Linked DNA regions of Tamandua tetradactyla. The protein of the gene in region 1 interacts with the protein of each later gene in a pairwise test. Links are inferred from orthologs where the notes say so. Each region holds a gene or a part of one and is shown in the gene's direction. Other genes may lie near its edges.

Region 1 (7,459 bases):
AACCTTGGCTCTTTTTAATCCTGACTACAAAGCGTCAGGTAAATCTGGGATCTTCCTACCTGTGAGTGCACCTCCTGCACTTCTCTCCTTGATGCACTCTACTGCAGCTTACCGTTTGTTTGCTGTTCCCTGAACAGTAATAAATAGCTAAGCTTGTTTATGTCACAGGGCCTTTCTCCTCTTTATTGCACTGATTGCTTTGTCATTTCATTCATTTCTTGGCTTACATGTAAGATGCTCAGGTCTACCTTGACTGCCCTGTCTAAAACACAGCAATCCCTCCCCCAATACCTCTGCCTCCCTGCACCCCATAGTTTCTCTTTATCTCCGTATGTAACACTTTTCTTTATAACACTTTTTATCATTACTCAGAAGTTACCTATTTCTTCACCACTGAAGCTCCATAAAGGCAGGGACTTTCAGGGGTCTTGGGCATTTCTCTTAATGTCTGGAACAATTCTTGGCACATAGTAGGCACTGAAATATTTATTAATTGAATGATGGATGAGTTTTAATCTCTTTGGAAAAAAGTTTTAGAAGAGTTGATATGCTATATAATAACTTGATGTTGGTACTGTTTAGTAGACAGTTGGAGTTGATACCAATGTCTGAACTTAAAGCAATATTTGAAAAATTAGTCTTTTATTCTACCTATAAGTTTGGTAAAAAAATCAATTCCTTGTTTTGTTAATTAGAACATAACATACATACAGCAGAATATTTGAAGAATTCTAAGGGGTGTATAGAGAAAAAAGTAAGTTTCCCTCATATGTCCCTCAACATTCTAGTTCCCCTTCCCATGCAACCACTATTACCTGTTTTTTATGTATCCTTCCAGAGAATTAGTGCATTTACAACAATTAGGCCTTTTCCTCTCCCCTTCATAAGAATAATCAGGAAAACTGTAAAATATAGCCTTAGGAAACAGTAGTTAACTTACTCAAGGAGTAAATTCATTTGATTAAAACTTAGCTAGCCAGTCTGTAAATACTAGCATTTTGCCAGTCTTTCCTAAAATTTGGTTTTTTTTTTTGGCATGGGCAGACTTGGGGAATAGAACCTGGGTCTCCAGCATGGCAGGTGAGAATTCTCCCACTGAGCTACTATTGTCCACCCTAAAATTTACTTTTTTTTTTTTGTTTAGTGTGGTTCAGTTTCAAATTCTTAAAAATCTGATATGATCTAATTTTCATTGAGACCTGAGTTCTGTTTACACTTTAGTAATTATGACTTTTAAACATATAGACATCACTTTTTTCTATCACATTTACAAGTCACTCATTTGATCTGTAGTCTAGTGTGTAAGATACTATAGTAAGAAAAGTGATTCAGAAAGCTGACACTTTTTTGAAGCCCTGAAAATCTTTGATTGATATATGTATTTTTTCCCATTAAGGGATATGAAGAACTTACTGTGTTGAAGAGAGACTTAACTTATAAATTGTAATTAAAGTTCTTCTTTGGAAACAGATAAACTATTATAGTAAAATTTGAATAGATAGTGGTTCTTAACTTTGTGTGTGTGTGTGGGGGGGTGGTGGTACCCATTTAAACATTTTTTGAAAGATCTGGACCTCCTTCCCAGGAAAATAAACCATGTGGGGTTTTTTTTGGCGTGGGCAGGCTCTGGGAATTGAACCTGGGTTTCAAGCATGGCAGACGAGAATTCTGCCGCTGAGCCACTGTTGCACCACCCAAACCATGTTTCTTTTTTCCAATATGATTTCTGGCGATTCAGGTTTTTGCCAAGCTTATTTTTGGATCTCCTAGGGCTCCATGGGCTCCAGGTTAAGAATCCCTGAACTACTTTTGATAGGGATTGAAGTTTCAGGCTATAAAGATGCTATTTAATGTAATACCTAATGTTTTGATTATGAAATATATGAGCATAATAAAATTTAGTTAGAAATAGTCAATTGAGTATATTTTAAGCTTCTCTGGGTCAAGCACTGTTAAAGGATCTTCCTTACAGCCCCAGTTGATTGATTCCCACACAGTTGAAACTGAATTTTGTCAGTTCATCAAATACTCCCATAGATCTAGTAGTGTATGAATGACAATAACATCAGAAATGTTATGTGTTTGCTTTGCTGAAGTTGTGAGTTTTTCCATACTTGTGACCACGCTTATTACAATCATAGAATTTTTTACATTGGAGGACTTTTCCTTCTTTTTCTTTCTCTTAGTGAAATCTGTAGGCCAATAAGTTACAAGGTCAGGATTTCTGCCTTGCTAATCAGTACATTTTCTCCCCCCACTCCATCCCCCATACCTTGTAGTTTACCTGTGCATAATGGATTTAAAAAGAAAACAGGTTACACTATATATTCAAGGTTTAGATTCTGAACTTACATTTAAATCTCTTATCATGGATTATGTATATAAATGCTCTATAGAAAGATAAACAGGGAAAGGAAGAGAGCAACTGTTTGTTAATGCTGCTGGAATGCAGCACACCAGAAATGGACTGGTTTTTATAAAGGTGATTTATTTAGTTACAAATTTACAGAGGAAAGGTAGCTGGCTTTCCTCTGACTCTCTGTGTAACATGGGGGCAGGCACACAGTGACATCTGCTGGCCTTCTCTCTGAGCTTCTGGGTTCAAATGGCTTTCCACAGTACAGTTCCTTTCTGCATCTCCAAATGTCTGGATTTGAACTCTCAGCTGGATTGTGCTGGATTGTGTTGAGCTCCTTCTCTTCTGACCTCTCAAGCTCCCAGCTAACTGAATTAAACATCATTCATTGCAGAAGGCACTTCCTCTTTGCCTTTGCAGATGTGATGAATCATAGATGAATTTCACAGGCTGCTGATTTATGTCCACAGCCACGAAACAACTGGGCACCACCGCCTGGCCAAGTTGACACCTGAACCCAACTACTACAGCAGTCATCAGGCTTTGGACATTACAATTATAGTTATCACAGTTCTGGTATAGGTACTTAATTAATAATTGCTTTATGTTATACAGTATTACTTTCTAAAACAAAATAAATTTGGCATAATATGTATATAGTAATTTATTAATAATTCTTATTTTGTATGAAAGATTAAATTGAGTTGGACTGATAATTAGAGTTGAAATTTTATTTGCAAGGAGTAGTGTTTGACCAACTAGGTTCAATTAAAAACTCAGCAACTTTAAAAGATGCTTCCCAAATGGAGATTTTTTTTGGGCGAAGTATTAAATACAGTTATCTTTAATTTGTGGATTGAATAGGATGTAGGATCATGTTCATCCCGGGGATTGAGAATTTTTGCCGTATCGTTTCTGGTGGCAGAAACTTATTGCATGGTTTGAATAATTGAATAATTAGCAGTGGCCCTCAGAGAGTCAACAGAAAGAATTCTTATTATCCGTTCTTCCAAGAACTACTTCCAGTGACCATTTGGGTCATTGTTATTTGTTAAGATCCTGGATGAAGCTATTCTAAAATCCCGTAAGGGTATTTAGGCATAATAATTTTTATAATTCATGAATTGACTTGTAGCTCAGATGCTTCTAAATAATTGGGATATGGCTGTAATTTAAAGTACTTTTAGACATTCTTTTCATAATCTAGCGTTGACATATCACATTGTGCTTTTTTTTTATACTTGGCTTTTTCATCTTCATATTTTTGAACTCCTTTAGTCTACATGCTACTACATTCAAGTCTGTATCAGGAGTTTGGTCTGTTTTGGACAAATTGTTTTGTATTTACATAGTCCTTATGACCTAGGGATAGAAGGCTTGTTAAGCCTGTTATACAGTAATACTGTATAACATAAAACATAATCGTTGTGCCATGTGACTTTAGGTGGTTTTTATTTCTTCACAACTTTCTTAAATTTCCTTATAGTTTATGCTTAAGAAAGTGTTATTTCAGTGTTGCTTTTTTGTGACTCTAAGAGACCACCAGTGAGATATCAAAGAATAGAATAAGCATATTCATAGAGCCAGAAACTAGGACCCTGGGTGGGAATGAGGATTGGGAATTAAATGATTAATTGGTTTGGGTGATGAAATAGTTTTGGTAATAGATGGTGGTAATGGTAGGACAACATTGTGAATTTAATTAACACTACTAGATTACATATTTGCATGGGTAAATCGGGAAATTTTAGGTTGTATATATGTTATTATTATAAAAATTAAAAAAAACATAGAATATTACCACACAACTCTAATGTAAACTGTGTGAATTCTAATGTAAACTATGGACTATAGTTAATAGTATAATTATAACAGTATTGTTTTTCATCATTGTTACATAGGTATCACATTAATGTAAAATGTTAATAGGGAAAACTGCGTGGGGGAGAATATAAAAACTTGTTTTTTTTTCTGCCTGATATTTCTGTAACCTACAACTTCTTAATTAAAAAAAAAAAGTTAAACAAAAAAAGTATGGATTGCTGAACCCCACCAGAGTTTGAGTCAGTTGATCTGGGGTGGGACATAAAAGTTTCTCATAAGTTCCCAGATAATATTCATGCTCCTGGCCTATTTACCACACTTTGATAATCAGTGTCTTAATAAAATTATGAAAAATCTTTCCAGAAAATAACAAGTATTGGTAAGAGTATGGAGAACTTGGTACTTTCATTCATCGCTAGTGATGAAGTAAAATGGTGTAACTCCTGTGGAAAAACAGTTTCGTGGTTCCTCAAAAAGGTAAATACAGAATTACATTATGATCTGGCATTTCTACCCTTAGGTATATACCCTAAGCAGATTCTTATACACCAGTGTTCATAGCAGCATTATTCACAGTAGTCAAAGGGGGGAACAGCCCAAGTGTCAATCAACAGATGAATGGATAAACAACAACAATGTTCTAGTTTGCTAGTTGCCAGAATGCAATATACTAGAAATGGAATGGCTTTTATAAAGGGGAATTTAGTAAGTTACTAGTTTACAATTCTAAGGCCGAGAAAATATCCCAATTAAAACAAGTCTATAGAAATGTCCAATCTAAGGCATCCAGGGAGAGATACCTTGGTTCAAGAAGGCTGATGAAGTTCAGTTTCTCTCTCAAGTGGAAGGGCACATGGCAAACACAGAGTTTCTCTCCCATCTGGAAAGGCACATGGTGAACACGGTCAGGGTTCCTCTCTCATCTGGAAGGGCACGTGGTGAACACAGCATCATCTGCTAGTTTCTCCTGGCTTCCTGTTTCATGAAGCCCCCTGGGAGGCATTTTCCTTCTTCATTTCCAAAGGTCTCTGGCTGGTGGACTCTGCTTCTCATGGCTGTGTTGTTCTGCTTTGCTCTCTCTGAATCTCTTATTCTACAAAATGATTCTTCTTTTATAGGACTCCAGAAACTTCTCAGAACCCACCCATGTGGGTGGAGACATGTCACCTAATCCAGCTTAACAACCACTCTTGATTAAATCACATCTCCAAGGAGCTGATCTGATTACAGATTCAAACATACAGTATTGAATAAGGATTATTCTGCCTTTACGAAATGGGATTTTGATTAAAACGTGTTTTCTAGGGGACATACATCCTTTCAAACCAGCACAGTGACAACAATGTTATTTCAGTAAATTGCTATGTTTTTTGTGACTCTTAAGGATGATAGGGATTTTTTACTACTTGCCCTCCCCTGCCTCACCTTCCAGTCTAATACTAGGGCCGTGGTAAAGATGGCTTTATAAGTGTAAGAGTCTGAGGCTAAATTTTAGTTTTCTTAGATATTGGGAGAGTTGTCTGCTCTTTTGTTATCCGTACATAAAATGTGTTTCAGTTCAGCTAAAAGCACATGTATTGAGTGCATCATGTATATATCCAGCACTAAGCCAGGTGACTAAGATCAGTATCCCATTGTATTTGTTTGTACTGCTGGAGTGCAGTGTACCTGAAATGGAATGGCTTTTTAAAAGGGAATTTGTTAAATTTCAAGATTACAGTTCTAAGTCCCTAAAAATCTACTAACTAAGGCATCCAGATAAAGATACCTTGACTCAAGGAAGGCCATGTCTGCCACATGGAAAGGCAGATCCTTGTTCCAGTTCCACTGCTTCAGCTTCTGATGTCAGTGGTTTCCCCTAAGCATCTGTGGGCCTTCACTTAACTCTTCTGGGCCACAGCTCTGCGTCCTGGCTTGCTTAGCATCTCATAGGAAGGCACATTGTGACATCTGCTGGACTCTGTATCTCCATACTAGTCCATGTCTAGGCATCTGCTCTCTCTGTTGGCACTCCAGGCATCTCCTAATGTCTGTGTCTCTGTAGCCTCTGAAGCAACTGTCTTATCTGAGGTTTCTCCAAAATGTTTCCCCTTTTAAAGGACATTAGCAAACTAATCAAGACTCAGCTTGAATGGCTGGAGTCACTTCTCCAACTAATCAAAAGTCCACCCTTACATTTGGGTGGCCACATCTCCACAGAAGTAATCTAATCAAAGACCACACCCACAATTGAATGGGTCAGTCTGCCACTGAAACAACCTAATCAAGGGTTTCCATTCCAATATTGGGTCACGATTAAAGGACATGGCTTTTCTGGGGTATACAACACTTTCAAACCAACACATCCATCTAAGTGGAGTTCATAGTCTTAATGGGAAATATAGTTGTGAAACAAATTATAGTGAGGTGTTGCATTATGAGAAAGGAAGTGCAGAGTAATGCAGGAATGTTGTCTTGGGGATAAGGATGAAGGAAAGGTATTTGTTGGGGATATAACTTTTTTTTTTTTTTCTTTTTCTCTTTTAACTTGAAGAGTAGGAGTTGTCTAGGTCAAGATGAGGAAGAGTAAGTTTTGGGAATAACAGGTGTAAATGCTGGAAGGGAGAGAGAAAGTGCATGGTGTAGTCCTGAAATAAATGTGATGAATAATGCCTTATTTAATGACTAGGGTCATTAAATTCAAACTTAGTCTGTGAATCATAATCACCAGAATGCCCGGTATGGCAACTGTTTCTTTTTGTGTGTGTGGGCAGGCACTGGGAACGAACTGGGGTCTCCAGCGTGGCAGGCAAGAATTCTGCCTGCTGAGCCACCATGGCCCTCCCTGACTATTCTTTAAGTGAGGTTGGTCATACAATTTTTTATTAAAGTAAATAATAAATATATTTTATTGATCACTTACTGTTTATGAGGCATCAGTCCAAGCATGTTACAGGTAGTAATTAATTTATTAAATCCTACCATCAATCCTTTCATGTGGCTATTAGTATTAGCCTATTTTACAAATGTGGAAACCCGCATGGAGGGTTTAAGTAACTTGTTTAGAGTTACAGTAAGTTTGTGGAGCTGTAATTTGAACCAAGACTGTCTGATTTCATTGCTTTTGGAATGGAATGCTCCAAAAAATAACTGTTCTAGATGATAACTGACAATCCGTGTATTTTTACATCACATTTATATAGCTGAAGTAGAAATGTGCTCATATGTAGAGTGTAAATACTGTAACTTTTTTGCTTTTTATTTTTTTAGATCAGAAGTGCTTTAATTAGAGGAATTTTT
Region 2 (7,377 bases), on another chromosome or scaffold:
ACAGTTTGGTTCAGTTTGCTTTTGGCTATGAAAGGAAGGTTACATACCAGATCGTGGCTAGAGTGGAAAGTGGGGTTCACAGAGGAAATTTTTGTTTGTTTTCATTTTAAAGCTGAAACAGACTTATGCATGATTGTCATGCTGTGAGAAGAGAGATAGTAGAGAATGAGTTGAAGACATGAGGGAGATGGGGTTAAGAGCAATATTTCTGAGGAGTGAGAGAAGACAGGATCCCATAATGGAACAAGAGTCTGAGGCAGCAAGTATACTGTGAGCTAGAAAGACATGGATATGACATTGTGAAAGGACACTGCTCAAAGATGTTTCTTTGAGAAACAGAAGGCAAAGCAATCAGTTGAAGGTGAGGGGGAGTGTAGAGACATTTGAAGAACGGGCTGATGGTTTAGAAGAGTGGCATAAGGCAACTCTTATGGGCTAGGGAGCTGATTAGGGCAAAGTAGAATTGCTGAAGGATGATGAAGGGCCAGCCCAGGGGGAGTCCCATTCTGCAGGGTGTGGCTGTTCACCAGCTGACTTGGAAGCCTAGGTGTTAGAAATGGTTAAGACAGAAGGTTGAATTGATCGAGGGTTGGCATCTTGACACATTTTTGGTATATTTATTGTATATTTGCTGCCTACCATTTTTACAAATACATGCTTTGTTTCCACACCAAATCTTCTTTAGGGTAAGAGCTATGTAAAGGGTTTGCATACTCAAATGCATAAGAGGCCAGACAGGTGATATGCACAAAACTGTGTGTTTCTCTTTTAAACAGAATCATACTTTGTTTATGTAGTTAACCTGAAGGGATTGTCTCCATTTCCATAAAGATGTGGTTCTCTCTTATTTTTGTCAAAACCTGTGTCTCTCATGGTCTAGCATTCGTTTTTGTGACTCTTCATAAACACGGGTATTAGAACAATTTCACCTCTCTCTCAATTCTGTATAAGAAAAATAATAGTGCCAGTCCAGTAATAAATGGCAACTGATAGCCTAAATATTAGGTGGTCAAAATACAGTGAGAAACTGGAGAATGGTCTGTCTGAGGGGTCTAGCCACTACTCAATTCTAGCCAATTGGCATCATGCAGGAATTTGGTCCAGTGTTGCCAGACCTTCTGATTTTTCAAAAGAAGCTTGAAATCTAGAATTTTATGGGTAACTTATTACTTTTAAAAATTAAAACATTAAAAAATGTATTTGGAAAACTGGTGAAATTCAAATAAAGCACAATAGACTAATTAACAGCATTGTATAAATATTAGCTAACTAGTGTTTCTAGATGGTAGTTTATGTAACCTTAACTTTGGGGAAGCTGGTTATAAGCTATGCAGGAACTCTGCATCAAGTTTTCTCCAGGTCTAAAGTAGTTTCAAAATAGTTAAAAATTAGTAACATACTGTTGTCCATTTCTGTGCAAAGTGAACATATCTCTACTGGCCACCAATTAGAGACCTTGTGTCTTTGTCTGGGATTTCTTCTCACCTATAGTTCTTAGAACAGTACCTTGTACTTCATAGACAATCAGTAAATACTAGTGCTCTATTTTGAAGAAAATGTTTTTTTAAAAAAATCATTGTGTCATATTTCATGGACTGACTTTTAAAACTTTTGTTTTTTTAACAGGTTTTACCAGAGAGGAGAACTGTTCTACTACTAGATTGTTTTCAATTTCTTCTATAATTAAGAATATCTCAAAATGGAGGCCTAAAACCCATAAAAGGGACTTAGTCTAATCTCCGGGAGGTAGTTTTGTGCATGAATGAAAAAAACTTAAGTAGTTGACTTAATTTGGTTTACAAAGAATGTAATTTTTTAAATGAGTTATTTATATGAAGTATAACTATAAAGTAATGAATTTGATTTTGTATTTGATTTGTGGAAGTAAAGGAGAAGTGATTGTAGCTGGAGCATATTATTAAAGCATTCATTTAAAATTTGGGTAAGCAGTCTTCCACTGGCTGCACTGTGTAATAGAAAAAAAGCACCTGTATTTGGTAAAGATTTAAAAATGAGCGGCCATTATCTAGAACAAAGAGTTAATATTAAACCCTCTGTTAAATTAGACAAATATGCAAATAAGGCCTCTGACAGGTTAAAAGATTTCTATGATGGCAAAGAATGTCAAGTACAAAATTTTTTGAGAGGTATAAAAATTTAGAGAAAGCTGGAAAGATAAACATGATAGTTGAAGAAATTACTCAATCACATGAGCACTGATAATATTGAAAGTCTAAAATTCTGTTTGTTTAAATTGCTGAGAATGATGAGAATGAGAACAATGTCTGGGTGGTTAAATTTTGGTAAGGGAACAAACTTAACCAGAAAGAAAGTTTACACAAAGACAATGATGAATACAGGGGTATTTTAGCACAATGTAAAATGTTTGACTAACTGAAGAAATAATGAAGTTAGACACAATGATTCCTCCTGGGAATCACAACTGGTAATGAGATAATGTTTCTCTTGCTATCTGGACACAAAGCATTGAAGTCTGCAGTAGAAAACCTCAACATCTGTGACAGCCAGGAAACCATGCTGGCAAATCACTGGTGGAAAAGCAAACAGTTTATTGGTTATTGCTGGTATTACCGTAGACTACCTGTTTACTAACGGCTAGTTAGGCATAACCGAGAAATTCTGAATTTTGAAAAGGGCTCAGCTGTTCAGAAGAAGGGGATTGTGGTAAAGTAAATTTATTAATTTTTGTAATGACATATTCTGGGTCAAAGTTTACTATCTGTGAACTAATATCTAACCAAGTTTCTGTGAAGTAATTTCTAGTCAAAACCAAATCTGCGCAATTTGATTATCCATTTTAGCCTAAAGACTACACATTCTATGACTTTTGACTGCTTTAAAAATAAATTCGTTATCAGAGTAGAATATTTGATGTTAGCAAATTAGAAAAATTAGACATTTAGAAAAGCAAAGTTCAAAAATGTACATGGTAGACATTGTGCAATGTGTGGTTTGAGCAGGTGATGTAAGGGAATAACTCTACAAAGTTAGTTCTTTGAGAGGGACAACAATTAAAAATCTTTAAAAGTCTCATTATTTTAAAGCCATATTTAATTATCTTAAGCAACGTGATAAAATGATTTTTCTAACCAAGGGAACATTATATCATGATTCCGTTTTTCCAAAATAATCTGAATTTAAGATTCAATTTAAATTGCATATATTGATAGTTTGTGGCAGAATCTCCATTTGCACCACCTGTTGTCTATATGATTATAAGAAAAACTGTCAGTTTTAATCAAGTGTACCATTAGAATGAAAAACAAAAACAGCTGACTTGCCTTAACAGCATGAAGTTGGATCCAAAAGACTAATTGAGCAAAATACATTCATTTCTGATGATTTTTTTAAATAGAATTTTTACTTTACCAAGACCTAATGGTATCATGAGGACTAAGGAGTCAAGTTCCTTATATATGAAGTAGTTTTAATTTTTAGTTTATTTTAGTTTTAAACTTTAATTTTCCCTATTAAAAGAATTGAGGGAGGAGAAAGTATCTAATTATCTAAGCTGTCACTTTCAGATACACTATTATTTTATGTGCCTCTAAGAAATAATGGGAATTAAAATATGAATATACCATTAATTGTAAGAAGCCTCTCAATAACGGGGATATTAAAACATGTTTTAGAAGTGATGAAATATGGTAATGTATTCTTTTGAGGTAAGTCTTAGGCTTTTTTTCTGGCTACCAAGTTTAACAGTCTACAAAAACTAAAATAAACATAACTTCAACATTTTTGTTGTAGAACACTTGTGGAGCATAGCTTTCCACCATGAAAAGAAGCTAGCTACATGAGTCAGATATTTTATCTTTAGGTTGGCTGAATGCCCCTGAAGCACTTTAGTGGCCTGAAAAGTTGACCTGCCTATGAGATGCTTGATATTGATATTGGTATTCTGATGACCTAAAACACTCCCCCTTCAACAAAGGGTTTTTAATTTCCATCACAAGCTACCATGTAGCATCATGTTTACATGTGTATATGTATATATAAAGATTATACAAAGGAACAGTTGTGCATAATTGTCCCTTTAAAGTATATGTCCCTTTAAAGTATAAGTATAGGATTTAGAATCTTGCCATGCTGAAACTCTAAATTTATAGAAGAAAAAGAATGATTTCACATTCTAGGCATTCAACCTTGTACTGAAACTAACAAAATCAAAAGCCATGCACAAAACTACCTCCCCAGAGAAAGGCTAGTCCCTTTTCCTCCCCATCCAATTCACCATGAACATAGTAGAAAAAAGCACATTCTTATCAAATTTGATGAAAAGTGCCAACACGTTTGAACTGAAATATGACTTTTCATGTGAATTGTACCGAATGTCTACATATTCGACTTTCCCCACGGGCGTTCCTATCTCAGAAAGGAGCCTTGCTCGTGCTGGTTTTTATTACACTGGTGTGAATGACAAGGTCAAATGCTTCTGCTGTGGCCTGATGCTGGATAACTGGAAAAAAGGAGACAATGCTATTGAAAAGCATAAAAACTTGTATCCTAGCTGTAGCTTTATTCAGAAACTATGTTCAGTTAACAGCCTGGGAGCCACCTCACAGTCTTTCCCTCCTTCAGTAAATTCTATACATTCATTACTACCAAGTTTGGAAAACAGTGGATATTTCAGTGGCTCTTATTCAAGCTTTCCATCAAATCCTGTAAATTTCAGAGCAAATCAAGATTTTCTTGCCTCAAGACAAAGCTCTTACAGTTGGGCAATGCATACCGAAAAAGCGAGATTACTTACTTACCAGATGTGGCCATTGAGCTTTCTGTCACCAGCAGACCTGGCAAAAGCAGGCTTTTACTATATAGGACCTGGAGACAGAGTGGCTTGCTTTGCCTGTGGTGGAAAACTGAGCAACTGGGAACCAAAGGATGATGCTATGGCAGAACATCTGAGACATTTCCCAAGCTGTCCGTTTTTAGAAAATCAGCTTCGAGAAACTTTGAGACACACAGTTTCTAATTTGAGCATGCAGACACATGCAGCCCGTTTTAAAACATTCTTGAACTGGCCATCTAATGTCCTAGTCCATCCTGAGCAGCTTGCAAGTGCTGGTTTTTATTATATGGGTAAGAAACTTAATCTGATAATAATAAAAATGTTCAATACATTTTAGCTTATAAATTTTAGTGGGCAAGCTATATGTGCTTGTAAGTTCTCCTCCAAATTAATTTTAGGACACAGTGATGATGTTAAGTGTTTTTGCTGCGATGGTGGACTGAGGTGCTGGGAATCTGGAGATGATCCATGGGTGGAACATGCCAAGTGGTTTCCAAGGTAATTGTTTTGAAATTCTCTGCAAATTTTTGTTAGTCTCAAGGGATGGGTTCCATTTGTCTACTTTACAATTAAATGGCTGTTACTTTATTTTGTCTTTATTTTGAAAATACATTTGTGAATAAATTTTTGAATGAATTACTTAGAAATAGATTTAAAAGGTTTTGATGGAAATTAAGGATGAAAAAGAAATAGGTTTAGATTTTGTTTAATTTTTAAAATATATTTTCCAAAGATAAAACATGCTTATTATAAAAACACAGTCATACATTTTAGAAAAGTACAAGGGAAAAAAAATAAAATTGTCCCCAAATCCTACCACCTAAAGATGATCATTTTTACCGTTTGACTGAACATCCCTCCAGACATCTGTGCCTATGTACCTATGTAGATAAATGAATACAATTTGACATAAAAATGAGATATAATGTTTTGAAAATTTTTTCAGTCAATATTATATCCTGGATATATTTCCAGTCTTTTAACATAATTAATTGAACATCTATTGCCAGGCCTGCTCTAGGTGCATAAACTATACCAGTTGAATAAACAGAGACTTGGTCTCATACACATGTTTTATAGCAGGGGAGAGAAGACATTTAATAAAAATGTAATGAGTTACGTAGCATATTAAAAGATAAATATTTGGGGGGGGGAAACGGAGAGCAGGTTAAAGGGGATAAGGAGTGTCAGGAAAGTTGCAATATTAATTAGGGTGGTCAGGGTAAATACAGACCCACCTAATCTGTTTTAATCACTATGTAGAACTTTTTGTCATGTCTTATACTTTCGAGGATCTCACTCTTTTGCACTCTTTTTTCATCTAATTCAATGATCTTTAATTACATTTTTCATGGTCAAAACTTTTATTATTATTGAATGTTGATTATGAAACTTGCTATCATATTTTCATTATACATATCTTTACATAGTACTCTATCTTCATTTCTAGCATCTTTGTGCTCCCCAAATATTGCAGATTTTAAAAATTATGAAGATTGTAAGGAACACTTATGTAGTTCTTTGAAAGTTATGCTAGCTTTCCACTGTGGTAATTTTGTGAATATACAAATGTAAATTTGAAAATATGCTTTGATACTATCATGAATTTGTTTGATGCTCTAATATGACAACAAGTATATATTATCTAGGAATTGACAAACTTGTGACTATCTTATTAGAATATGACTTTTTTTTGTCTCTTGTTCCTCTCGCATGTTCTCTGCTCTCAAATCTATAATGGAGATGAACCGTGTCACTTATCAGAGAGCTGCTACATGTCTGTTTTTAAAGTCTTTCTTCAGAGCATTTTTAGGAATCTTAGAGAAGAGCTGAAGAGAGCAGTTAGGGGTTCTGAGTGGCAAACTGCCAAGGTTGAAGTAAGAAAAGGGTCATGAGGCTCCCAGTCTACTGTACTGGGTGTCATACTGTAAGGCTGTCATAAATCAGAGGTATATGTGTGCATGAGTGGGTCACAAGCACTCACCATTTAAGGGCTTTTGTCTCAATTCCAAAGGAAATAAACCAATTAATCAAAAGCATTAACTGAATGGATGCTATTTCTGGCCCAGTAAGTCATTGCTGTTGACTCTGAGGTAATTGCAAATGAGAAAGAAAACACCAAAAATAGATTTATAAGCTTAAAATTAGATTAAAATGAGCATTCATATTTTTTCTATTTTGAAAACATTTACTTTTAGTTTTTAAAATTTTTATCATTACAATGTATTTAAATTAGAGATTAGAATTTAAAAAGAACCAGTTGAAGTTGAGGATATGGAAAAAAAATACTAAAGGGAAAAAAGGCTGTAATTTCCAAAAGTAAAACTTTAAAAAAAGTAAAAAAGGATTTTATTTATGAAGAGGGAAGAATATTATCTTTCTCTGAGTACATATATATAATATCTTTGTTCATAATTAGTTCTTAGGATAATTTCTTATGGCCTACACATATGTATAGAGAAATCATTTCCTTCCTTCTTTCCTTTCCATTTTCCTTTAACAAACATTCTTTGAGCTGCTGCCAGGATAAGATTTTGGTGGACTGTTATATATTTTTAGTTAAG
Region 3 (7,314 bases), on another chromosome or scaffold:
TTCTTAGAAGCCACTGTTTGCATGCAAACAAGGAAGTGAATGGACGAAGTGCAAACATGGGATCCAGAAAACAGGGAGCCCACATAAAAGAGACGTGAAAGGAAGTTCCAGGATGGCAGCTGTGCAGTCAGTTTGGCAAGTAATAAGTCCATCCAGAGCAGGAGGAAAAAAGACAAAAGGGAACTGATAGCAGCTGTTTTGAGTAGCTTTATACTTTAGACAGAGAATTCGGGGATGAGAAAGTACACAGGGAATAAGAAACCAAAATTTGAGTTAATTATTAACTCCAAGGAAAATGAACAATTGCACATGAAAGGAAATACAAATGATATGGTTCAGCCATGAACAAGATTTATATGATTGCATTAATATAAAAAGGGATATTAATATACTCATGTTTGGAATGTGGGGAAGGAAGTGCTATGTGAAAGGAGGGTGTAAAAGAGATAATTCTTCATCTTCCACAAGAAGTCAATGGATGATCTATAAAATGGAAAAGCCCAGAAAAGCTGTAGAAACTTATTCTTTGGAAGTATAAAGGTGAAAATGAGAAAAATGCTTAAAAGAATTGAAGGCCGTTGCCTTTGAGGAATAGCAATTGGGTAAAGCTGTAGAAACTTATTCTCTGGAAGTATAAAGGTGAAAATGAGAAAAATGCTTAAAAGAATTGAAGGCTGTTGCCTTTGAGGGATGGCAGTTGGGGGTGGGGAGGGTTCAGCCGGGGACATGTTTTCAATGATAAGTAGAATTGGTTTGGGGACAGTCCCAGTTTATCCTCGACAGATTGGTATAATTTTACTATGGTTGTCTCTTTGACTTTTAAAATTGCCCAAGTTTGGATGAAGCTGTCAAGTGTTATTTGATTTTTTAAAGTACGCAAGTGTTATACTTTGATAAAAATAAAATAAAAAGAAAGTTCTCTTTGAACCCTAAATAAAATTGTCCTGTTTCGTCAAGATCAGCCAAAGATGTTTACTTTCTTTTTCCCTAAACTTAATTTTTCATTTTAAGTTAAATACAAGCAACAGGTCTGTTCTGAAGTACTTTACACATTTACTTTCTTGTTTAATCCTTGCAACAGGCTCCCGGGGCATACATACTATCTCATTTCATAGATGATAAAAATGAAGTTCAGAGAGCTCTAGTGAGTTCCAACAAGGTCACGCAGCTAGTACTAGTTCACGCTAGACCAGGCTCTTCAATTACTGTTGCATGCTCTTGCTTCAATAGCATATGTTAAGGAATTTAAGCCACAAATGAACAGAATCTGAGATATAAAACCAAGAACCCAGATTAATAGCCTAGCTTTAAAGAAAACAGATTATGAAAATCGATAAATAATTCAAAGGTTCTTTTGTCAGCCTGGTGTTTGAATAACAATTCTAATGAATCTGCCCAGGGAGGCATAAGTGAAGGCTGAAATCACTCTCAGGGGAGAACAGCCCACGCCCCCAATCCCAGACACCCTTGAAATCCCAGAAGACGGACCCCTGCTGCTAGAACGCAAGAATGGGAAAGCAGCCTTGGTGGATGTTTCATTATTATTTTTTAACACATTTTAAAATTACATGAGTGATGCATAATTGTTTCAGAAAAATAATAGAGACAAAGCCCAAAAGGAAAAAATAAATCTTCCAAATCCTTTCACCTAGTGATAAATACAGATAACATTTTACTGTGTACATCACTGATTTTTGGCTAGTAGAAAAACAAAAATAGGATCATATCATGCAAACTTCTCAGGAACTTGCATTTTTTACCAAACACTATTTTTTGGACATGATTCTATGTCTATAACCATATATCTACATCTTTCTTTTTAGTGCCTGCATAACAGTCCATCATTTGCATTACTGTATTTGTCCAATACTCCAAGGCTAGATATTTGGATTCGTTTTTCTATTGTAATTATTACATTTACAGCAACAAAACTGTGTAATACAGCTTGTACATATGTCCATAAGGATATGTCCAATCATATCCTTAGGATAAGTTCCCGAAAGAAGGATCACGTGCCAAAGAGCACATATGTCAGAGGGGCTTCTGCTCACAGTGCAAACCACGTCTTGAAAGGCTGTATTTCAGACGTGAAATTCATATTTAGTGATTTCATATTTAGTCCTACCACTTTTACCAGTGCTTTTATATTTCTTAAGAATTAAACCATGAGAGGAACAAGGTTGGGGATTTGAGACAGGAGGCATTACAAGAAACACAAAAGTTCTTTATTCCCTTCCTTTTAGTCCCTCCCACGTTAATTTTTTCCAATTTGGAAGTCTGGGACCAGCTGGTTCCATCCTCAGGTCATGCCCGCCATCCCTTCCCCTCTCCCCGCCCTGATACTATTAGAGTTTGGGTCAGTCTCTCCCCAAGGGCCAGAACATACCTTTGAGGTGAGGGATATAAGTCAGGGTTTCGACAGCCATCTTGTCCAGTGGCATGGTCACTGTGACATGCCCAAGGATTGAAATTTGAATACAGCCACCCACGTTGATCTGTCAGCTCTGGAAACAAAGCCACATTGGGGCTAGTTAAAACACAGAAGCAGGGGCCAAGAGCTGGTTGTACATTCCTACACCTCCTCCTCTGATTCTTTCCCCTGCCTACCCCTCCTAAGGCTTGCGGACATGTCTCTGTGGCTTTATTCTAAAGGTATGCCATTCTGAGGTCCTTTCTTTCCTTATTTCCTCCAAGATTGAGAATCACACCTTCTCCCTAAAATGTTCACCCCTACTTAGGATAGTTGACAGTTTTGCACAATAGCTAACTTTTCTCTGGTAATTCCAGAGTTTTCCCTTCATGATCTGGAGGGCTGGTAAAAACCCACCTTGTGCAGCTTACACACCCAACTCTCCCTTCTCTCGAAATGGGCACAGAGGTTGGCATAAAGAATATGTTCTATTGGGTTAAACACATACAGAACCAAGCACTACATGCCTGTCCATATTACTCATTTTATATAAGTTCTTTTGGTGGTGGAGCCCACACTCAGGATGGATAAGGAAAGAAAACACACGTAATTTTGCGCATATCAATGCTCAACAACCTTTGCCCTAGAAACTCAGAGCTATTATACCTGGCCTTTAAGACTCCCGAGGCTGGAGTGAGTGGAGGTGAGGGTTATAAGATGACAAATAGGGCAACTGGGCCCAGACCTAACTTGCCTTTCAGCCAACCTCCTGCAACACACACACACAAGCTATATTCTGAGTTAGATGTAGAAACATCTAGTTTCTGAGTTTCACCTTCTACCATCTCACACTAAATGTGCCCCAATTTTCCCATTTCACGAGGATTCAGCATAAACAACTCACTTCTGTTTTCACCTACTTTAAAGGGATAATTAACTGCTGTTTTTACACACACACAAAATACACAGTGTGACACAGTCCAAATTCCAATCCTCAGAAAAAATCAATTACTAAACACCTACAGGGAAAAAGGGAAGAAAGTGGAAAAGACAATGGAGCAGCAACTTTTGAAGTTGTGGGAAAGCAAACCAAACCCCCATTCCCCCCAGCTCCTAACAGCCAAGTCAGACACCCCCACACAAGCCAGATTCCCCATCCCACCCCCATTTCCTCTGCCCCAGCACCAGAGGGAGCCCCTTCTAGGTGCCGCCCCGCCCCGCCCTGGCGGCTCCGCCTCCGGCCCCGCCCCCGGCACGCGGCCCCGCCCCCCGCCGACGTCAGTTGTTATGTCTCCTCCGGCCGCCGCCGCCGCCGCGGCTGAGCCACTGCTCGGGGGACCGCGGCTGCGGCCTGGGAACACGGCGGGGGTGGCGGGCGCTGCGTGGCCCGGAGATAGCCAGAGAACCGGCCGCGTGGGACGGAGCGGGGCCTGCTTGTGCGTGCCTCCGTCGGCGCTGTCGCCCCGCGCGCCTGACCCCAATCCGCCGAGGCCGCGCCGTCCCCTCCCCCGCGGGATCGCGGCGCCCTCCCGCCTGAGCTACCCAGGCGCCCCGGAGCGGCCGCCACCGTGCCTGCCGCGCTTCTCGAGGAACCGGGGCGGCTGGCGGGGCCTGGGAGCGGGGCCGAGCACTGCGTCCTTCCTGAGCCGCCGCCGCCGCCGCGGGAGCCGGGCCCCTCGCCCCAACCGCCTCCCCGCGGACGCCTTGCCGCGCCCAGCGATCCCGGCCTGGTCGAGCGCATGGGGCCCTCTGACCCTCTGCGCCCTGCGGCCCGCGCCCCCTGACTGAAGGCCCAGCGCCGCACAGCCGCGCCCCTTCCCCGCCGCTCCCCGCGCGGCAGCACCCGCTGCCGGCTCCTGTGCCGCGGGCCGCGCCCGGGTCTCCCTGGGGAGCGGGGAGACGCCAGGAAGATGTGGCTGAAGCTCTTTTTCCTGCTGCTCTACTTCCTGGTGCTCTTCGTACTGGCCAGAGTGTTCGAGGCCGTCGTGTGGTACGAGACGGGCCTGTTCGCCACGCAGCTGGTGGACCCTGTGGCGCTGAGTTTCCGGAAGCTGAGGACCATTCTGGAGTGCCGGGGGCTGGGCTATTCGGGGCTGCCCGAGAAGAAGGACGTGCGGGCGCTGGTGCAGAAGTCAGGCGAGTAGTGGCGCGGGGCGGCTGGGCACTCCCACACCCCAGGACCCTGCCACCCCCGGGCCCCAGGCCTCCAACCCGGCACCCCCACACCCCGGGACCCCGACCCCCAGGGATCCCGACCCAGTACACCCCATGATCCTGACACCTGGCACTCCCACACCCCGAGATCCCGACTCTCCAGAAACCCCAACATCCCCACGCCCCTACACCTCGACGTCTGGAGCCCTACCACTCCACCACCCCCACACCCCTACTCTCAGACCCTCTCCCTGACACTCCCGCATCCCGGCACCCTTGAATCCCCGTACCCCGCATGTCCTGCGTGTCCTAGGGCGGCTGGTGCCCTGGAGGGTTTCCGAAATCAGGAAGCCTTGTTGGCATGGGTGTTCGTGTGTATTTTTTCAGGTTATTTTTTTTAAGGAACAGGATAAAGTGCGGCTTCTTAGCGTTGTTTACTTGTGTGATTTTCTCAAAATTCAGGAGTATCACCCAGTTGCAAACTGTTCTGAGTCCAGTGGATGGATGGGAAGAGGAAAACGCCAAAACGTTGCATAGATTTGCTCCCATAGTAATTGCACCCTACCCAGAGGGGAAAATGTCACTGGAGTACTTAATATCAAAGAGGCCTAAGGTAGTATAGGTAAAAATAATACTTACATTTCCTGTAGTGAGGGCAGACAAAGATACGGTGTACCCAGTCCAGCAATAGCTTTTCATGCTTTGGTGGAAATAAGGTGAGCATTTTGTGTAAATGCTAGTCTCTGTTGTTTTGCTTTGTTTTGATATCTCCGTCAGGATTAAAAACATATTTTTTGATTCTTGGAAGTAAATTTTTTTTTTCCTTCTATGTTACAGGCACTGCTGCACCAACTTAAATGGGTTGGGGAATAGAGTTGAATTATCTCTGATATAATATATAATCTCTTAAGGGACACATTTTCAATAACTGTTGGTTGGGTAGGGTTGGGTGAGAAATAAGGTTAATTTTTTTCCTCCTAGACAAAGTATATGTTTAGATATGCTTCCTGGAAGGGGAGCATGCTGTAATTTGAGAAGGATGCTCTGCCTTGCTGTAGCAAGCACTTGAAACTGATGGTTATCTTTTTTGTTGTTTCAAGTATATTTGTCCACTCTGTGTCTTTTACAAGATAATTCTTTCCCTTATTTATAACCAGTTAGAGTTGTAAGAGTGTAACTCCAGAGGAGCTCAACACTCGCATATCTGTATGTTCAGGATTATGAAACTCGTCTTACTGGGACGGAGTCGGGGAACCTTTTCTACAAAAGTGATAATTTGTTCTTTAGAGAAAATATAGGATGGTATATTATTCTTGTACCTTGTTTACTGACTGGTCTGTGGTGACTTTTATTTCTACCACAGGGAAAATAAATGGAGCAACTAAGGTAAAAGATCTATAATAAATAAACTCTCTAGCTTTACAGATGTCTTCAACTTCCAAAGCCAAACCATTTTTCATGGTAAAATCATTTGACCACACATTTTTTAAATTTTGACTTTTAATTAACATTTTAAAATTTTTGACTTTTAATTATTTTACTTAATGTTGCTCTCTGGGGGAGGCTAAAAGTACTTGTCACTTTTGAATATACAGGGGTTCTGCATATAATCTAAAGAGTACCCACAGATCCCCAAAATAGGACTCAGATCACACATTTTATAGCAGAGAAGAGTTGGTTGGCACGATAACTGTAAACTTAAGTGTTCATTGTAAATGAATTTGCTCTGATGATACTGTGCTTGATTTCTCATTGTGTTTAAGGCAGAAGTTAGAAAATTTAACATTACTGCTTACCTTTCCTCTTTGCTTGATGATACAAGCTCTAAATTTATAGTATAAATTTGTGTGTAGATACGAAGTTTGTTCTAAGAAAGTTCTAACCTCCAAGTCATATAAGCCCTCTTAATATTTTAAGCTCTGCTGATGGCAAATTCTGTGTAAACCGAATTCTCAATCTTTTAAGTCAGAAGTACATGAATTATACTGTTTAAAAATTATTTGAAGCCAGGACATGTTATATTCAAAACTAAAGTTTTAATTTCTGATTTTTTTTGGACTGGTACAAATTCAGTAATTTCCCAATTAAAGTATGATGAGCCCACTAGAATGTAAGCTCAACGAAGAGATAGATTTTTATGTGTTTTTTTTTCCTACTTTTGCCTGACACTTTATAACTTCTTCTTATATATTTATAGTATATATAAATCTTACATGGATGTATTTAGGTTCTGCTATTCTTTCCTATAGAATACATTGGCACTATTCTAATCAGTAAAGTATGGAATTAATTGTTGAAGTTGGGAAAGTGGGATTTTTGTATATTTTACCTGTCTGAAATCTAATAATTTGTGTTATTTTTGCCTTTCTTCAGGTGACTTGATGGAGGGTGAGCTCTATTCTGCTCTCAAGGAAGAAGAAGCATCTGAATCCGTTTCTAGTACCAATTTCAGTGGTGAAATGCACTTCTATGAGCTTGTAGAAGACACAAAAGATGGCATTTGGCTTGTTCAGGTATCAGAAACAATAATAGTTCTTGATAATTTGTTAACACTTAAGACAGACGTTATTTTTATAAAAATAGTATTCACTGGCTGGTAATACTTCTGTGTACTTGTACATCTTTCTTAGGCATAACTCAGTTCTTAAAGGGAGGCACTTAAAGAAGTTTTGTACACCAAGGGAAATGAAAATTGGAGGGGAAAAGCGGTTGACTTGTTTAGAATCAGCAGAGGCAAATCCATCCTGATT
Region 4 (7,934 bases), on another chromosome or scaffold:
TCAGAGGACTCACACCGGGGAGAAGCCCTACAAATGCAATGAGTGTGGGAAAGCTTTCAGTTACTGTGCAGCATTTATTCAGCATCAGAGAATCCATACAGGAGAGAAACCTTACAAATGCAATGCATGTGGGAAGGCCTTTAGCCAGAGTGCAAACCTTACAAACCATCAGAGGACTCACACAGGAGAAAAACCCTACAAATGCAGTGAGTGTGGAAAGGCCTTCAGCCAAAGTACAAATCTCATAATCCACCAAAAAACACACACTGGGGAGAAGCCATATAAATGTAACGAGTGTGGCAAATTCTTCAGTGAGAGCTCAGCTCTCATTCGCCATCATATAATTCACACTGGAGAAAAACCCTATGAGTGTAATGAGTGTGGAAAAGCATTTAATCAGAGTTCATCCCTTAGTCAGCATCAAAGAATTCACACTGGTATCAAACCCTATGAATGTAGTGATTGTGGGAAGGCCTTCAGGTGTAGTTCAGCCTTCATTAGACATCAGAGACTCCACAGTGGAGACTGATTATGAACATAATAAAAAGGAGAGAAAACCTCAGACATCTCAGTAAATCAATATGCCAGGGGACCTGATAAATGCAGATGATTTGAGAGCAACACCTGAGGACATCTAACTTTATAGTCTAGCCCAAGCCACATGCAAAAAAAAACCTTTAATAAATGCTTAGTCATTTTACATATTGCATATGGCATTCAGTGAGCATCAAAGAATTTAGGGAATCTAACAACCCAGCTGAAATTTCATCCAACTTTACAGATTTACCTTTTTTCAGACTGAATGGGTTAAAGAATGCTTTTGATGTAGCAAGCACTCCAGAAAACAGTAAGAGAAGTTCCTATATAAAGACCAGTATTTAGGCAACATTTGTAAAACTTTCCTTTTAATATCGAGGGCTGTTCCAGAAGGCTGAGTTTCTACTACCAAGAAAATGCAAGTGGAGATTCTAGGGCTATTAGATTATCTTATCTCAAAGGGGGGAAATCAAGATACAGCTGCCACCCAGGAAAGCACTGCTGAATCCCTACTTTGTGAATTGTTAGACTAGGTCTAGGATTTGTTACCCTTCTAAGAAAAAACAGAGCAAAGCTGAGGATAAAGCAGGGAGGGCTAAGAAAGCCCAAGAACGAGACCTATAATAAGGTGAGTGGATGTTAACTGCACCATTCTTGTCATGCACTTCAGGAAATTCAGAATTTTATCACTGGCAGGCTTCCTTCTGTACACTGACTTGGAGACCCACCGTCTGGTGAACTCCCCATCAGCAATGTCCATGCTTCCCTGGTTTCAGAGATGCTCTCCACATTTATTGGTCTTGTGCTATAAAAGAGGCTGGTTGCTGGGATGCTTATTCCCCCAAATCTTAACCCAGTTCTCAGGCAGACCTTTCCATAAGTCTCAACCCTATCTGCCTACTAGACCACCTGGGGTGACTGACTATGGTTACAACATTGGTTCTGAACCAGGCCAAAGCTTAGAATGGGTTAACAAGGCATTAACCATTTCCTCCAACCTACCCACAGATTCTAGTGCCTGGGAGGGAGAGGTTCCCTACATGTTTATGGTTGAAATACAGGTTTTCCTTTTGTCCCCTAATTAAAGAGCTCCATAAATACTGAAATTAAACAAGAAGCACTAGCTTCCTTTTTCTATGTATACTTTCTCATCTTCTAAGCAGGCAGAATTTGTTACCTGCAGAGCTCACTGCTCAGATTGTCACTCCTCCACAGGTTCTGCCACCTGGCCCATCAACCACCCCCAAAGAAGCTAACTTCCCCCAAGAAAGATACATCAAATAAGCAAGTCTATTGGCTGCCAAATGATCTTTTATTGAAATATTTTCCTTTGAAGTTCTTAACTCTGCAGGAAAGAAAAAAAAAACAACCCTATCAGTAATAATACAAAAAGTATCCCCCACACCTGTAGAACTTTCCAACTTCCATCCATGAACGTTAGCCCCTACCCTGCACCAAGGGCTTTCAACCCCCATTTTGACCAAATGAAACTGATGTCACTTACAGATGGGCATTCCACAGCACCACTGTTGATATCATCTATGATGTCATGAGGGTGGCGGCCATCCACATTGCAACCCACTGACTGGGCAGTCCCCAGGATCTCTTTAATGGTTCCTGTAAAAATTGAGAAAAGCTGCTATTAAGAGGAGTTCTCAGTTCCACAGTCCTAAGGAACATACTTCGTTCTGCAGTAAGCAGAAGGACAAATAGTCTTTGTGGGTACCAGGAATGACATCTCTAATCCTAAAGCTCTTGTTTCCATCTAGTTACATAAGCCCCTTGAGCTACCTAATTAAACACATCCAGCCATGATCTTAAAAGCCATCCTTTCAAACCTAATAAGGCACCACACCTCACTTTTGAACAAAAGAATTGTCCTCTTACCAGAGAGTTCTCTAGCTAAAGATCGGTGCCGCATCTGTCGGGCAATGTTGACAATTTCATCAAAAGTGATATTTCCACTGTGCTTAACTGTAGAAAATAAACACACCAGAAGCTTTATCACAACTCAAAGAGAAAACCATATTATGTCCAGGCTGTTCCCATGCTTTCGGCACAGAGTCATCCACATGAAGAACAACCCTGTTTCCTAAGCTGGGATTTAGTATCAGCTCACCACTGGATTGCACCAGCCAACAGAGAACTGGTCAGGTGCAGTGGCGGGTGGCTAAGGGCAAAATCAAGTCTTTGCTAATCTGACATGGAAGAGACTTTATTTCTCTTCTAGAGTCCAGAAAAAACAGGCTCAAGTTACTGGGGTTAAACTGTTCAATGTCACCCAGCTGGGAAAGTCTCCTGACTAAATATTCTCAATTGCCTCACCCCACAACTAATTGCCCAGACCAGGCAATGATGCTCAGGCCTGAGGTTTCCCTCTTTCGTGGAAGCTTCATGGAGTATGACCTACTCTACCTGGATCAGGGGCTGGGAAAGCAACATGACACTATGCTGGTGTGCCTGGCTGTGAAAGCCTACACCAAATCACCCAATTCCCATGACCACCCAGGGTTTCACGGGGCATGGGTGGGTGGGAGGGGGTGGGCAGAAGACCTGTTGTCACTGGATACACAACAATCACAAAACACAACTAAAAAGAATACAGGGGAAAAGGCAACTCACTGTTTTTCTGCTTCTTCCTGTCTCTGGGTGGTTCCTTAAGGGCTTTGATGATCAGGGCAGAGGCAGAAGGTACCACCTCAATCTGCATAAGAAGATTCTCTACTTAAGTCCCACCCCACCTCCAATGACTGCCAGACTACAGACCAACCATGGAGCCTTCACAGTTGGAGTCATCCTGATTGCCTCCTATGGTTACACAATAACAAAAATTAATATTGAAACCTTGGTCTTTGCTCTAAGGCCCATGCTCTTGAAAAGGTCTTCCCACAAAGATTGTTATCCTTTTACTTGTAATTATAGGGTATGGTTTTTCCATCACTTCACTCCTGCCATGTGTGAGCCTGAGTTTTAATTCACCACCACCACAGCAGCTGCCTCTTATGGCTAGGGACAGGGCTGCTCTCAGTTCACCACTGATGACAAGTGCCTGGGTCAGCAAAAATCAGGACCCCATAAGACTGCTCCCTCTCTCCCTCCCCAAAACCAAGTACAAGTAAATACCTGGGCCTGTCTGTTCTGAATTGTCAGTTTCACCGTAATCCTTAGACCTTTCCAGTCACCAGTTGCCTTGGCAATGTCATCACCAACCTTTTTAGGAGACTGTTGAAATAAAGGTACGTTATCACACTGGGCCTGATGTTCAACCTTAATACCTAGCCAGTATTTCTCACTTGGCAACACCCCAAATCTTTATCCAGCACACAGGAAGCTACATTTGAACCATCTTACCAACCCAATCAAGGCAAATTATCCCCACATTACAGTCACTGGAGGTTAAGCTTGTACACAACCTTAATCTAGAAAGGCTCAGGCTCACAGTGGAGCCCTTTACCTTCTCATAAGAATCCATGTGGTAAAGGAGGGGTTTTCAACCATGGTTACATTAGAACCACCAGTTCTCCTATTAAACCAATCAAGTCAGTCTGCGTTTAGGGGTATCTGGGCATTTGCTACTTTAAAAAATTCCAGTGACCACACAGCCTAAAGAGAAGGGATGTTGGCGGGACCAAGAGCTAATACACTGGGCTAAGCAAGATAGGGCTATTTGGGGAGGAAGAACACTATCCAAAAAATAAAGGCCTAAACATATTCAGGGAAATGTAAATCCAGTACAAGCAGAGTTTCAAATGGAGGGGGCAACAGCCAGATGAGGCTTGTGATCAATAGAGCACAGGTAAAGCCAATCTTATTAACCACGAGGTTTACAACAGTAAACAAAAGTGGAAATACAAGCCACCATATTCACCAGGATCTACACCCAACTGTCCTAACAGTGCTGTCACGAAGCACTCCTGACTCCAAAACTCACTTCTGACTTCCCTCACATCCCTCAGCCCGCAGCAGTTGTACACACGTGTAAAGTAAATTACCAACTTCAAGGTAGCGGCCTGGACGTTCAAACATACCCTTTCTGGTACTAGCACCCATTCTTCAGGGGTCTGGTCAGGAGCCAACAAACGAACCAAATGATGCCGGCACGAGACCTTAATCCTCCCCCAGAAAACGACTTACCAGACCGAGGGGACCGATCTTGGGGGCCAGGGCAGACGTGGCACCGACTTCCCCACCGGTGCACCTAAGGTACACTGGGAGAAATAAAGAATTAGGGCCCATGCAAAGATATCCCCCGACTGCATCTTCCCGGGGGCTGTTGCCATCACCCTTCGCCGCTTCTCCAAACAGCACAAGCGTGTCGGTCCGGACTGAGGCAAGCCCCACCCCCGCCCCGGCGAGCCGCGCGTTACACCTTGAGCGTGGGCAGAAAAATCGGGCGCCACGTGGGGCAGCGGCCTTGGTTCAGCTACCCCGGCTGAGCCCCGAACTGGGCCGGCATGAGGGAACCCCCGGCCTCCAGTGAACCCAGTCCAGGAGAGCAGAAGAGCCCGAAGACAAACCTTACCCTAAGATGTGCGGGCTGCAAACCCGTCTCAGGTCGTCCGGTCCTCCCTCCCCATTTATGGGGGAGCTGAGACCCAGAAAGGGTAAGAGACTCGGCAGGACAGCACAGCGCTCTGAGCGCAGAAACGGAGGCTCCCGATAGGCCTCTAGGAGGCGACGGCTATAGAGCCCGACATGGAAAAGGCAAACACGGCAAAGGCCGCAGGCCCGACGGGCTGTGGTGAAGAGGGATGCTCCACCCCGCAGCCCCGGCCACATCTAGAACACGCACCGACTTTGATTTCGTTGGGGTCGAACTTGGGCGGCATGGTGGAGGCAGCTGGTGTCGGATGAACCCGGATGCGGGACGACCGAAGAAAGTTGCACCCTGGCCTCCTCCGAGCCAAAAGGCCGGAAATCAACCCGAGCACGCCAAATATAGGCGGAAAAACGCAACTCTCGCGAGAACAGTCGTACTGCTCATCTTCCCAGCGATGCCCTGGCTGCCATATTGCTTGTGGGCAGGCGCCTGAGGCTGACAGCTGGAGAGCCAGGCACCGCGGTGAGCTGAGCTGTGGCTAGGGACTGGGAGAGGGGTTCGGGGAAGGTCGCCAGTGAGAGAGGCAGACCAGAAGAGCCGCTCCAGGAATCCCAAGCCTCCTTGTTCCCCATTCTCCCTTTCCGCGAGGGTCATCCCCGGGTTCCTGTCCTCCAATCCCAGAGCCTCGCCCCTTTCCTAAGGGGTTCGCGCCCCCGTACCCGGACTGCAGGACCAGCGTTACCCAGAGCCCTCTCCTAATCCTATCGTTATATGTGTGCATTTTAGTTATCAAGATAATTTTATTCGGTCTAAATCTGGTCCAACTCTTAAATTCTGAGAGCCCGCCGTTCTCAGGAGTCTCAGACTTCGTCATTCTGATCTTCACGACTTCCCCAGATTGTGAGTTTCCGTCCCCAGGTCTTGCGTTTGGAGGTGACCGGACTCCTGCTCTGCCGGGGCCTATACCCAGTGGGCTGCGGCTCCGTGTCCATGACCATTCTCTCCGATTGATCGGCCTGGCTTCGGGTCTACCGAAGGTCGGACCACCGGACTTCTCCATCCCAAAGCCAGGTTCGGCACAGTCCCCGCCCCCATCTCCCTAGCCGGGAAGGATGGGTGTGGTCCTACCTCTCTGGGCTAGACGCCGGGAAGGGGTTGGGGAACAGCTGGACCTGGGGTTGCAGGTTGGGAAGAGTTGATTTTTGGAGAGGGGTAGGCACTGGGGAGAAGTTGGAGAGGAGGTGAGGGGGTAAGTCATCAGGGAGTAGGGCGGTTAAAGCTGGTCGTTGGGGAGGTTTGGGGAGAGGATTTTGCAGCAATTCCCCATCCCTACGGGTACCCTGGGGTGACGACGGGGGCGTGAGCCGGCTCTGCAAGCCTGTCTGCCTTTCCAGACAGCCCATGCCCGTATGGGTGGAGAACTGTGATCTCTACCCCTCCCTGTGAGAATGAATTACACATCTTTTTCAGATGCATTACCTGCCTTTTCTCCCTAGCCCCTTAAACTGTAGACCCTGAGTAAGTGTTTGTTAGATGTGTGGTGCTGTGTGGTTACCAATTACTGAGCATTCACTATGTGCCAAGTACTGTGCTTCATATTTAGGAAATCAGTGAATCCTCAAAGCTCCCAGTATTGGTAACATTACTGCTCTCAATTTACAAAGGAAGAAACTGAGGTTCAGAGGGTGTGAACTAAGGTGATATAGTGGGGGGGGTGTGTGTGTGTGGCAGAATTGGGATTCAAATCCAGTTATATTTCATCCTAGAGTCTGTGCTGTTAATCATAAGCTACCCTGATGATGGTTTGCTGGCCCAGCACTATCCTTTATTGAGCACTGACATCTGCAGAATACTGTGCAAGCCTTAGGCAGGCAGTGAGCTGCTTGCTTCTGATTTCAGGACAGTGTATTAGTGTGTGCTGTGTTATTTGAGCACCAATATTTGGGCAAACTCTACAGGGTTAGAGCTCAAAAGGCCAGGGTTCTAGTTGGTTTTGCTGCAATCTAGGCTATATAACCAAATGAAGTCCATGAGCCTCAGTTTCTTTACCTATAAATAGTGCTCTGGTGAAAATCTAATGGAATAATAACTATGAGACTGATAAGTTATCTAAGGGTAGCTTTTTAATTTTTATTTTAATTCAGGATTCTCTTTGGAGAGCTCCCCAAGGTCATGGCTGACTCTGGTTAGTTCTGCTGATACCCCTCTGATGTATCAGGGTACCTTTAGGGATGGGGAGTGGTCACAAACACACCTCTCCCAAACCTCCTTAATGACCAGCTCTAACCTCCCTACTCCCCAGTGGCTCAGAAGTGATTATCAGTCAAGTGTGTTAGCGTCCTTAGAAGTCATCCCTGGAAAGGACCTGAGAAAATGTATCCAGGTCAACACCCTCATCGAAAATGAAGGAGAAATGAGGCCCAGAACAGGGAAAGGGTGTGCCCACAGTCTCATGGTGGGTCAGTGGCAGATGTGGACCAGACCCCAGTTCACCTGGCTGCTGTGGTGGTGCTCCTTTTCCCCTCAGCCTACTGCCTGTTGTTTAGGCAACAGAGTACTGAACACCTGCTGGTCTGGGCTCAGAAGACAGATTGATGGATGAGCTAGACACAGACCCCCTCCTCATAGAACTCACAGCCCAGCCCATCATACACCTGTTCTCTGTGTTCCTGTGTTACCCATCCTGGGAGTTGGGGGTGCTATGTGAATTTCCCCAGGCCCTAACATCTCGTCTGTGGCCTTTTTTCTGGGAAACAGAAAGGATGCCACTCTTCTTCCGAAAGCGGAAACCCAGTGAGGAAGCTCGAAAACGCCTGGAGTACCAGATGTGTCTGGTGAGAGCAAGTGGGTTTCCTCT

Evidence for each region.
Region 2: the proteins of ubiquitin-conjugating enzyme E2 N (region 1) and baculoviral IAP repeat-containing protein 3-like interact in a two-hybrid assay, tested with the Homo sapiens proteins (2 studies listed by BioGRID and IntAct). The link is inferred for Tamandua tetradactyla from reciprocal best matches to the Homo sapiens genes UBE2N and BIRC3.
Region 3: the proteins of ubiquitin-conjugating enzyme E2 N (region 1) and RNF103 interact in a two-hybrid assay, tested with the Homo sapiens proteins (3 studies listed by BioGRID and IntAct). The link is inferred for Tamandua tetradactyla from reciprocal best matches to the Homo sapiens genes UBE2N and RNF103.
Region 4: the proteins of ubiquitin-conjugating enzyme E2 N (region 1) and LRSAM1 interact in binary tests that used the Homo sapiens proteins (3 or more experiments, as listed by UniProt). The link is inferred for Tamandua tetradactyla from reciprocal best matches to the Homo sapiens genes UBE2N and LRSAM1.

What each region holds. Positions count from the first base shown.
Region 1 is NC_135333.1:162,831,214-162,838,672, reverse strand, and holds the start of ubiquitin-conjugating enzyme E2 N, read left to right. Parts: upstream 1-4,204; 5' UTR 4,205-4,567; coding exon 4,568-4,657; intron 4,658-7,459. UniProt on the Homo sapiens protein: The UBE2V1-UBE2N and UBE2V2-UBE2N heterodimers catalyze the synthesis of non-canonical 'Lys-63'-linked polyubiquitin chains. This type of polyubiquitination does not lead to protein degradation by the proteasome.
Region 2 is NC_135334.1:40,516,617-40,523,993, reverse strand, and holds the start of baculoviral IAP repeat-containing protein 3-like, read left to right. Parts: upstream 1-4,073; 5' UTR 4,074-4,256; coding exon 4,257-5,103; intron 5,104-5,211; coding exon 5,212-5,311; intron 5,312-5,652; exon of another isoform or gene 5,653-5,694; intron 5,695-7,377. UniProt on the Homo sapiens protein: Multi-functional protein which regulates not only caspases and apoptosis, but also modulates inflammatory signaling and immunity, mitogenic kinase signaling and cell proliferation, as well as cell invasion and metastasis.
Region 3 is NC_135343.1:60,476,724-60,484,037, forward strand, and holds the start of RNF103 (E3 ubiquitin-protein ligase RNF103), read left to right. Parts: upstream 1-3,960; 5' UTR 3,961-4,320; coding exon 4,321-4,546; intron 4,547-5,026; exon of another isoform or gene 5,027-5,280; intron 5,281-6,937; coding exon 6,938-7,077; intron 7,078-7,314. UniProt on the Homo sapiens protein: Acts as an E2-dependent E3 ubiquitin-protein ligase, probably involved in the ER-associated protein degradation pathway.
Region 4 is NC_135328.1:50,258,936-50,266,869, forward strand, and holds the start of LRSAM1 (E3 ubiquitin-protein ligase LRSAM1), read left to right. Parts: upstream 1-4,919; 5' UTR 4,920-5,329; coding exon of another isoform or gene 5,330-5,366; 5' UTR 5,367-5,397; coding exon 5,398-5,599; intron 5,600-5,974; coding exon 5,975-6,148; intron 6,149-7,834; coding exon 7,835-7,911; exon of another isoform or gene 7,912-7,921; intron 7,922-7,934. Other genes in the region: ZNF79 (zinc finger protein 79), read left to right, coding at 1-529; RPL12 (large ribosomal subunit protein uL11), read right to left, coding at 1,877-1,882, 2,042-2,154, 2,425-2,511, 3,160-3,241, 3,661-3,759, 4,672-4,745, 5,330-5,366.